Linked DNA regions of Caenorhabditis elegans. The protein of the gene in region 1 interacts with the protein of each later gene in a pairwise test. Each region holds a gene or a part of one and is shown on either strand. Other genes may lie near its edges.

What was found.
Region 2: the proteins of rpl-11.1 (region 1) and skp-1 interact in a two-hybrid assay, tested with the Caenorhabditis elegans proteins (one study listed by BioGRID).

The regions. Positions count from the first base shown.
Region 1 is NC_003283.11:3,584,745-3,587,819, reverse strand, and holds rpl-11.1 (Large ribosomal subunit protein uL5A), read left to right. Parts: upstream 1-1,755; 5' UTR 1,756-1,761; coding exon 1,762-1,896; intron 1,897-1,946; coding exon 1,947-2,162; intron 2,163-2,211; coding exon 2,212-2,451; 3' UTR 2,452-2,487; downstream 2,488-3,075. Other genes in the region: T22F3.2 (Ubiquitin carboxyl-terminal hydrolase 36), read right to left, coding at 62-191, 241-403, 459-701, 755-988, 1,039-1,180; pygl-1 (Alpha-1,4 glucan phosphorylase), read right to left, coding at 3,031-3,075. UniProt on the Caenorhabditis elegans protein: Component of the ribosome, a large ribonucleoprotein complex responsible for the synthesis of proteins in the cell.
Region 2 is NC_003283.11:11,643,530-11,650,902, forward strand, and holds skp-1 (mammalian SKIP (Ski interacting protein) homolog), read left to right. Parts: upstream 1-1,951; 5' UTR 1,952-1,968; coding exon 1,969-1,988; intron 1,989-2,033; coding exon 2,034-2,190; intron 2,191-2,235; coding exon 2,236-3,321; intron 3,322-3,370; coding exon 3,371-3,467; intron 3,468-4,249; coding exon 4,250-4,377; intron 4,378-6,325; coding exon 6,326-6,445; 3' UTR 6,446-6,561; downstream 6,562-7,373. Other genes in the region: Chromosomal passenger complex protein bir-1, read left to right, coding at 1,234-1,356, 1,401-1,745; Transcription factor zip-10, read right to left, coding at 6,674-6,982, 7,034-7,222.

The DNA.
Region 1 (3,075 bases):
GCCGCGGATTGCGCTCGCGACTCCGCCCTTTTTTCCTGTGCCGTTTTCTTTAAAAACTAACATTTAAGGTGACAGGCCGAGAGATTTTCTTCCCCCAACCATCAAACGAGAAGCGAGAAATGTGCATTAGCAGGATCTGTGGAGCTCGGAGAAGTGTGGGCTTCACTGGCGCGTCGGATTTCTTTTTGCACCTGAAAATTGGGGAATTTTGATTGGAAAATGAGTTCGAAAATCCAGTACTTTGAGCAATTATAGCCGAATATCTTGGATTCCGTGAACAGAGCCTGCATGAGTTCTTTAATGGAGTGGCTTTTGCCTGATGGATCCTTTCTAAGCATCCGAACCGTCATAACGGTGTTGTGCTCATAGTAGACGTGCTTGTTCTTGCACCCGGGGCATTGAACTGGAAATTAAAATTATTTTCTTTAAAAAAAAAATCAATAAAGTGCTTCAAAAACCTTCATTTCTTATGGAATATCCGAACAAATCATCGGCCACTTTGCGGCCTTTCAGACGAGGATTGCTCTGCACCGATATCTTATCGAGCTTCCCCAGAATCGCCAGGAGAGCATCATGAGCGTCTTCCTGGCGGCCTTGATTGAATTTTCGATCTTTTTTGAATGCTTCACGGAACCAATTGATAGTTCCAGCATGGCCATGGCTTTGAAGGAAGTTTTTCTTCCAGTTGCAGCAGAGACAAGCTGAAAATTAGCATAATTGCGAGAATATTTCATAGAAAAATCATAAATCAAACCTGTATCTTGGCATTGATGATCCTGAAGGATCCTTACAATTGCCGGAACATGCGATAATAATTGAACACACGAGATCGCATAGCAATAAATCGACGGATTCTGGATTCCCTTTTCCGGATAATTCTCTCTCAATTCTGACCAATTCCAAGCGTAGAGACTGCTGACGAGTTCATGATTATCCAAAATCTCGTTTCCCCGGTCTGAAAGCGTTCGTGGGCGATTTGCTCGATTTGCTGCAAAAAACAAAATTAATCAGATTATTCGCAAATTTTCCAAAGCTTACATGGTGAATCAGGCGTTTTTCTATTAACTTCAATTTCAGGAGCTCGGGGTGCAGGACGATTTTGTGAGGAGGATGATGGAATAGTATCGAAATTAATCCATCTGTTCGTTTTGAACGAATCCCAACCCTCATTTACTGTCATTCTGTAACAAAAAACGTTGAAAAAAAATTAGAAATTCAATTCAAAAGAAGAAATTTCAAGAAAATATAGAAAAAATCAAGAAAATTCAAGGAAAACTTCAAAAAAAAAGAGCGAAAATCGGAAAAAAGCTGAATTAAATAATTAAATTCGAAAATTAAAGGCACACACCATTTTCGGGACCACGATATCTCGGCACGAAAACAAAACCGTACCCTCGAATCCTAAATCGGGCCGAAAATCATTTTAATTCGAGGTTTTTTTTTCTGATTTTTCGAGTTTTCCTCACAAAATGAGAGTGGTTTGTCGTTGTTTCGCCGTCTCTGTCACCCGTTTGTGCTGTTCTATCGCTTGCCCGTTTTCTCTGCCGTCTCTTCAGCGCATGCCGGTGTGTGTGTGTGTGTGTGCGCGTCGCTCCTCCCATTTTCGTTGTTTTAGGCCTAAAATTTGAATATCTTTCTAGGATCTCAAGATGCTAATTTTTTATCGGCATTTTTGAACTTGTGTCTATGCGTTTCTCTCTACTTGTTCTCGCTTGTCACAGTTTTCAAATTTTATGTATTTATGCTTTTTTTCAGGTAATCATGACGGACGTCGAAAAACAGACGGAAATTCGCGAGAAGAAGGGCCGCAATGTGATGCGCGAGCTCAAGATCCAAAAGCTCTGTCTCAACATTTGTGTTGGAGAGTCTGGAGATCGTCTCACCCGTGCCGCTAAGGTATTCCAATATATTCTACAGTAATTCGTAAATTTTCGAAATATTTTCAGGTGCTCGAGCAGCTCACCGGACAAACCCCAGTGTTCTCCAAGGCCCGATACACCGTCAGAACTTTCGGAATTCGCAGAAACGAAAAGATTGCTGTTCATTGCACCGTTCGTGGACCAAAGGCTGAGGAAATCCTCGAGAAGGGACTCAAGGTCAAGGAATACGAGCTTTTCAAAGAGAACTTCTCTGACACTGGAAACTTCGGTTTCGGAGTTCAGGTTAGCTTAAAGTTGAAGTGTTCAAAAGTGATGATTATTTTGTTTCCAGGAGCACATTGATCTCGGAATCAAGTACGACCCAGGAATTGGAATCTACGGAATGGACTTCTACGTCGTTCTGAACCGCAACGGAGTTCGAGTTTCCAAGCGCAGACGTGCACCAGGACGCATTGGACCATCCCACCGTGTCGATAAGGAGGAGACAATCAAATGGTTCCAGCAAAAGTACGATGGAATCATTCTGCCACCAAAGCCAAAGGTCAAGAAGAACTTCTTCCGTCGTCGTTAAGTTTTTCTATTTTCTGAATAAACTGTTGTTATTAAAAATGAAATTGCTAATGTTTTGTTAAAGTTGTGAATCATAGTCTGATTGTCGTGGATCTGAACTTCAACTTCCTGGAATCAATAATTTTACGTTGCGAATGGTCTTCTGATGTAGAAAGTTCAGGATATTTATCCAGGAATTTTGAAAACTCATCGAAAAGGAGTTTGGTATTTTGCTAACGAGCTGGTCGTAGAGGTATCGAAACTTCTTTGAAGATCCTTCAGACAGCCATAATTTTTAATTAAATTTCAGCATTTGCAGATTCGAGTCAAAATTAAAAAAAAAAAGTTGATATTTTCAGTCAATTTATCATAAATATGCAGGGCAGACGTGCAAATAGACAATCTCAAAGTATGGCAACACATTCGGGGGAAGTACGATTATTGGACTGGGGGCAGAGAGGACAAAATCAATTTGATCTTGAAGATTCACAAGAATTATCGGGGGAGGGAAAGGCTTCTATAAAAATGCTATAAACTAAATGGGACGGAGAGGAGGGGAAGTTATGGCGATAATTAATTACAATGTTAGTGCATAGAAGAATTATTCGCTCTTCTCATTCTCATATGGTGCTGGAAGAGAGCTCTC
Region 2 (7,373 bases), 8.1 Mb from region 1:
AAAATTTATTAATTTGATAACTCTTCATGTAGGAACGAGATATTCAAAAATAATCAAGTGTAAATCTGTAGAAGAATCTAAACTGTTCAAGTTAAAAATTGATTTTCGATTATTTTTGAGATTACTCATTAATTAGTAATCATAAATAATATTATTTACCGTATTTCCTCTATTAGTAAGGCATGCAAAACTAATTTTCGGACACCTAATTTGATGCAAAACTAATAGAAGGTGCTAAACTAATTTTCGAACAGGTTTTTTCTCATGTTTTCCATTAAGTTATGACATAATATCATCAATTTCAATAACAACTTATGAACCAAAATGGACGAATTTTACGACTGATACGCAAAAATTGTCCGAATTGTACTCATATTTTGCCAATTTTGACTTGTTATACCAAGTCTGTAAGAGTTTTCCTAATTTTTAGAACGATTTTATAATGCAAATTTTAAATTCCTAAAAATAGGGAACAAATGGAGGGGTGCAAAACTATTAGAGGTGCAAAACTAATAGAGCGTGCAAAACTAATTTTCGATTAGTGATTTTAGATGCAAAACTAATGGAGGTGCAAAACTAATAGAGGTGCCTAACTATTTAATAGAGGAAATACGGTAAATTTCAGTTTTAGCCAGTTGAGAGAGGTTGAGCCGCAGGCTCGATCGACACCGTCCGGTTAAAAAGTTAATAGAATCTTTTTCCATTGAATCAAAGTTATTGTTAATTTGTTTAGTTTTCAACAAACTCATTGAGTTTCCTGTCTTCTTGGAGGTTTTGGTACGCGCGCACGTGCGCTCTACTGACCAATGGCCGTGGCCTAGCTTTCTTGGTGGCTGTATATTTCAGCGCGAAATTCGTCAGTGCGACGCGAGCTACATTTATTGATTTTTCAACATTTTATTCGATAAATGTTTTCTGAGATTTGTTTTTCATTTATATTTAAATACACACTGAAAAAATAAAACCACGTGGCGTGGATGCGCGAATTTCATGAAATTAAACTTCATTTTCGAAATCTATTAAAATACGCCACGAAGTTTTATTATTTTCAATGTAAGTCTCGTTTTATCTTTTCCTTTTATCAATCGATTTCAACGCTTTCAACTTATTTTTTTGGAATTGTGGTTTTTAGTTCAAATCTTCTTAACTGTATTTCGAATTTTTAATCTCTACCTGTTCGAAATAGATTCCTCAAGATTAAGATACCTAGTTGTTTTTCATTGATTTCAGAAAATGGCACCCGGGACCAAAAAAAAGTCGGATATGGCAAAATTCACATTCTACAAAGATCGCTTGATGACATTCAAAAATTTCGAATATGATAGAGACCCGGATGCAAAATGCACGTCTCAAGCGGTTTGTCCATTTTCGTGTTTTAAATAAAATTATTCTTGTTTTAGGTTGCTCAAGCCGGATTTTACTGCACCGGTCCTCAGTCTGGCAAATGTGCATTTTGCAACAAGGAACTTGATTTTGACCCAGAAGACGATCCGTGGTACGAGCACACGAAACGTGATGAACCGTGCGAGTTTGTACGGATTGGAAAGCTCGATGACTCGGAATTAACTATTAACGATACCGTTCGTCTCTCACAAACCGCCATGATTATGACTAAACTCTTTGAGCATGAGATGATGATAAATAATTTGTCTAATCATTCTTCTTCTGATGCTCTCTTCGATCAGCTGAAAAAAGTACCGAACACAGCATCGACAACAAAATCTAACAGCCGCCGCGGCAAATAATTTTTCTACATCACTTACTGCAACTTATCCAATTATTGATTTGATCTCATATACTCGATTTAATCACTGTTCAATAAACACTTAATTCATTATTTTATTATTCATTCAATGTTTTTGTTTTGAAATTATAACTTGTGTTTCATCGGCACTACAATATCTTCCAGTTTTGTATTTGATTCTTTTTTTGTCTAAAAAAACAATTTCAGGACAGTATTTCATCAGGATGTCGATGAAACTACGAGAGTGAGTGTATTTCACTGATTATCATGTAAAACCAATGTTTTTTAGTATCCTTCCTGCTCCTGTGGCGGCAGACGAAGCAGCTTCACAGATTCGACGAGATCCTTGGTTTGGTGGGCGCGATAACGAACCATCCGCCGCACTCGTATCGAAGGAACCACCGCCGTACGGAAAACGGACCAGTTTTCGACCAAGAGGGCCTGAAGTGAGATTGAAAATATTAATATTCTTCTTAATTTTTCTTTTCCAGGATTTTGGCGATGGCGGAGCGTTCCCTGAAATTCACGTTGCTCAGTTTCCTCTCGGATTAGGTCTTGGAGATATGAGAGGAAAGCCAGAAAATACGCTCGCCTTGCAATATGGAACTGATGGAAAGTTACAACACGATGCTATTGCTCGTATCGGACATGTTAAGGATAAAGTTGTCTACTCCAAGCTTAATGATATGAAAGCCAAGACGTGGAACGAGGATGATGATGATATTCAGAAACCAGACGATGACGCTGTTATCGATGCTACGGAGAAGACAAGAATGGCTTTGGAAAAAATCGTAAATTCAAAAGTAGCCTCAGCACTTCCTGTTCGTCATGCCGACAAGTTAGCACCTGCTCAATATATCAGATACACTCCAAGTCAGCAGAATGGAGCTGCTGGATCACAACAGCGCATCATCAGAATGGTTGAAGAACAAAAAGATCCGATGGAACCACCAAAGTTCAAAATCAATCAGAAGATTCCTAGAGCACCACCATCTCCACCGGCACCAGTCATGCATTCTCCTCCAAGAAAAATGACAGCTAAAGATCAAAACGATTGGAAGATTCCACCATGTATTTCAAATTGGAAAAATCCAAAAGGATTCACAGTTGGGTTGGACAAACGATTGGCTGCTGATGGACGTGGTCTCCAACAGACTCATATTAATGAAAACTTTGCGAAGCTTGCTGATGCTTTGTACATTGCTGATAGAAAAGCTCGTGAAGAGGTTGAGACACGTGCTCAGCTTGAAAGACGCGTTGCTCAAAATAAGAAGTCTGAGCAAGAGGCTAAAATGGCAGAAGCCGCAGCAAAAGCCCGCCAGGAAAGATCAGCGATGCGGAGAAAGGACGATGAAGATGATGAACAAGTCAAAGTTCGCGAAGAAATTCGACGTGATCGTCTCGACGATATCAGGAAAGAAAGAAATATTGCTCGTTCACGACCAGATAAAGCTGACAAGCTTCGCAAAGAGCGTGAAAGAGATATTTCGGAGAAAATTGTGCTTGGTTTGCCGGACACGAATCAGAAACGAACTGGCGAACCACAGTTCGATCAAAGATTGTTTGATAAAACCCAGGTTTCAGTTCCTTCTTCGATAAAATTTAACTAATATATTTATTTTTCAGGGACTCGACAGTGGAGCAATGGACGATGATACTTACAATCCTTATGATGCTGCGTGGCGTGGCGGTGACAGTGTTCAACAGCACGTTTATCGACCGAGTTAGTTTTTCTTGCTTATTTTCAAATATAAATTAAAATTAGTAACGGGTCTAGGTATTTTGAATGTATATATATATATATACCCACAATGCTCTAAAATGAACGAATTTCATAATGAAACGTTCCAGAAGTTTTTCAAAAAAAAAGTTTTATGGCGTTTTAAAATTTCAAAAAAAAACATTATTTTAGCTGAAATCTTATTTTGGCAGTTTATCTTATGCTATTCTAAGGTACATTTAAAATCGAAAGGTTACCGAAATTGATTACCTATGTTTGCTTAAAAAGTACCTCAATTGACGATATTACGTGATATTAAAATTTAAAAAAAGATTATAATTCAAAAAAAATCATTTTTGAACCTCTGCGACACGAAAAATTCGCCAAAATTGATTCATTTTTTCTAAATTTCGAACCGCCATAAAAATCTAAACGTTCAAAAATAACTAGAACCGTTAGTTCTTTAATATTTCAAAATTGAAATGATTTCCTAATGTATGTCTGAACTGAGGAATTTGTGACATTCTAAAATTTATTGTTTTTCTAATTCATTGGTGTTGGAATTCACAAAACTCTTTGATGATACTGATGTATTTGACTTTCATGTCCGTTCTGGTTCATTTGTCGTTAAAAATAGAATCACAACTTAGGTGCCTAGTATTTGATAAGACGTTTGTAGTACTGCAGTCATTACGATTAAAATGACGTTATGCAAATACGAATTTCGAAAATAATTGTATTTTTGTCAAAACAGGAAGAAATGACGATTTATAAAACTTTTGCAGGCAAAAATCTCGACAACGATGTTTATGGTGGCGATTTGGACAAGATCATCGAACAGAAGAATCGGTTTGTAGCTGATAAAGGATTTTCAGGAGCAGAGGGCTCGAGTCGTGGATCTGGACCTGTTCAGGTTAGTCAGTTGATCTGTTGTCAGAAATTTTAACTACGTTACTAAAATAGCTGGGAATTTTGAGAATTTGGGCGCTGGCTCGTTGTTGATGAGCGTCAAAAATTGACTGATAAGTAACGACGAATTGAACCAATTCGTTGATTTGTGCGGTCATTATCATAAATGGATCATTAATTTACGTCATTCCGAAAAGACACGCACAGCAGTGTGTTTTGGAAGTAGAAAAGATTCTTTACATTCTTGGTTTATGAGCTTCAATTGTCGTGCGTAATATGTTTGACATTATTGATAAAATAAGATTAAAATAATTAAAATATGTCAAAGTTCAGTTTTCATCCATTCTCTTTATGGTCGAAATGAACTATTGATGTATTTTAACTCACGATTAATTTGATTGTAAAAGTTAACCAATTTTAGATATTCTAATTAGAGTTATAATAAATAATTATGGATTCATCAATATTGTAGTTTTATACAATGCTCAGAGCTTATTGAACAAAAACTAATTATATCTTTTCTATCATAGCCGATTAGCTTTTCTTTTTACTTAAGTTCGGGATGCAGATTCTCTTCAGTTTAACACATAAAATGTATTAAATTACTTTACTGTTTCTAGTCACATTTCGAGCTGAACGATCAGCATTTTATCGAGTTGTGTCTACGGAGGCTGGTGTTTGCGAGCATCTTTCATAACCCAATCACTATCAGTACTTACGAAATATCACGTCTTATCACCAACAAGCCAGAAGCATTAGAACCAACATGTGATTTACTCTAAAAGTTGAAATGACTGAAATACTAGACAGAACTAGAGCGGTGTTGACTATATTTCGGTCTATTTTTAGGAAATGATAACTTTTTGCTCCGAATATACGTGTAAATGAAACAGCTCAAATCAAAATTTCACTCTCAAAGTGGCATTGTAGTTAAAAATACGTATTGCATTTTTTAACAAAAAAATCTTAGTTTTAGTTTTCGCTTATTATGAAAGTGGACGAAATAAACAGTTGTCCTCCCAGTTTTTATAGTATTTATTCGTATTTGGAAATTCTAGGGATCGAACCTGTAGAAATAATCGAAATTTATCAAAAAATTGAAATTTTTGAAAAATTTGGCATTTACTATATTGAAAACACCAATTTTTCAAATGTTTAAACCATGTTCATAGTTTAGATTTGAACAGGAAACGTATTTTTTTTCCGGAATTGTTTGCAGCGAACTCGGGGAGCTGGGTAAACTTTTTCGGCGAAATGGTGTTAATTGTAGACTAACATCTAAACTGAGTGATAAGCAGTAAGCGGATAAGCCAACGATCATCCGTGTCGATTTATAAATTGGTTCAAGCAGCGTTCAAAGGGCAAAACATTAGATGATGATGATGACAGAAAATACGATTTTCATGCCATTTTAAGAATGACAATGATAATTCTAGTATATTTCATGACAATATTTCCGAATCGTGATTGTGCATGGCATAGTTTCGAAATTTCTTACAAAGTTTATTATAAACTTATCAAGAAAATGATGACGATGCGGAATCGTCTAGAATTACAGGACAGACACGATGGCGGCCGATTTGGCATGTTTGCGTGTGACGATCGAATTGTTGCAGAACGCGTAGAAAATGCTATAATCTGGTCAAAGTGCATTTGATTCCAACGAAATAGTTTATACGCATTGAGTTTAACTGTGAATCGAACGTTATTGAAATTTAGAAAATTCCATCTGCGAAATTGAGTGTGTGGACCCGTAGTATTCAGAAATATATGTATTTACTGAATTATTTTTTTGAAACCTAATTTCTAAAGATTTCATAAGGAAATTGCATAAAAGATGCTCTTAAAATGACTGTGACTACTTCTAAAATTTACTTATCAATGAGTCATAAAACATTAAATGTCACTGTGCATTTATGAATCACTACAAAATGTTAACCTTTTTATTTCAGTTCGAGAAGGATCAAGATGTTTTCGGATTGTCATCACTTTTCGAGCACACCAAAGAAAAGAAACGAGGTGGGGATGGTGGAGACTCCCGTGGAGAATCAAAGAGGTCTCGACGCGACTAATTTTAATATATTTTTTATTTGTTTTCTGTTATTTTTTCTCAACTTCTTTTTTGGAAAGAATCTCTGTAACTCTTCTGTAGTTGGATGTTTGCACAAAGATGAATCAAAACCGTGTCAATTTTTATTAATAACATTTCGAAAGAAGACCAAATTATGTCAGCAAAGAATGAGCGAATTTGAAAAATTATGGCAAAGAGGATTCGGGAGAGGGGAATATTGAAGATGTTCTTAGGAATGGTTGATTTGATTATTGAGTTGCAAAATACTGATCAAGAAATCTTTTTGAGCATTTTCTTGTTGAAGACCACTAACTGCTTGCCGGAGAGCTTTTACTTCCAACTCGAGTTGCTCCTTCTCATCATGAAGACTTTTCACATTCTCCACCTTTTGGCGCATTTGAGCACGGTACTGGCGAGCATAAAGACGGCGATGACGCTTCTTTTGACTGTGAGCATCTTGTCCATCTGCAATTTCTTGTTGTGGTCGACCACGACGGATTTTACCAGGAGCAGCAGAACTTTCAGTTGAAGAGCATCTCTGAAAATACAAATAATATTACAAGATTTTGAGAAAATATGATATGCTTACCGAGCTGGATGTGGTAGATGTTCCCAAAGAAGCAGAACTTTCAAATGGCAAAACAGGCAGATTGATGCTGAATTGAGCAAGCATTGCTGGATTAATAGCAACTGGACGATGAATTGAAGCTGATGAGAATAGAGATTCAGGAACAGAGGAAACTGAATTAGAAATAAGAGAATTAGTCATTGTTGTCATTTTTCAGGAATGAAATGTGGACTGAAATTTGAATGATGATAACTCTTTTATACATTTGCATCAGGGGGACACCCACTTTTTCGTTCCTTATCATTTCTTCCATGTTTGTAATTGGAAACACAAGCACCGCCCATATTCCCGCCCCTCCCCC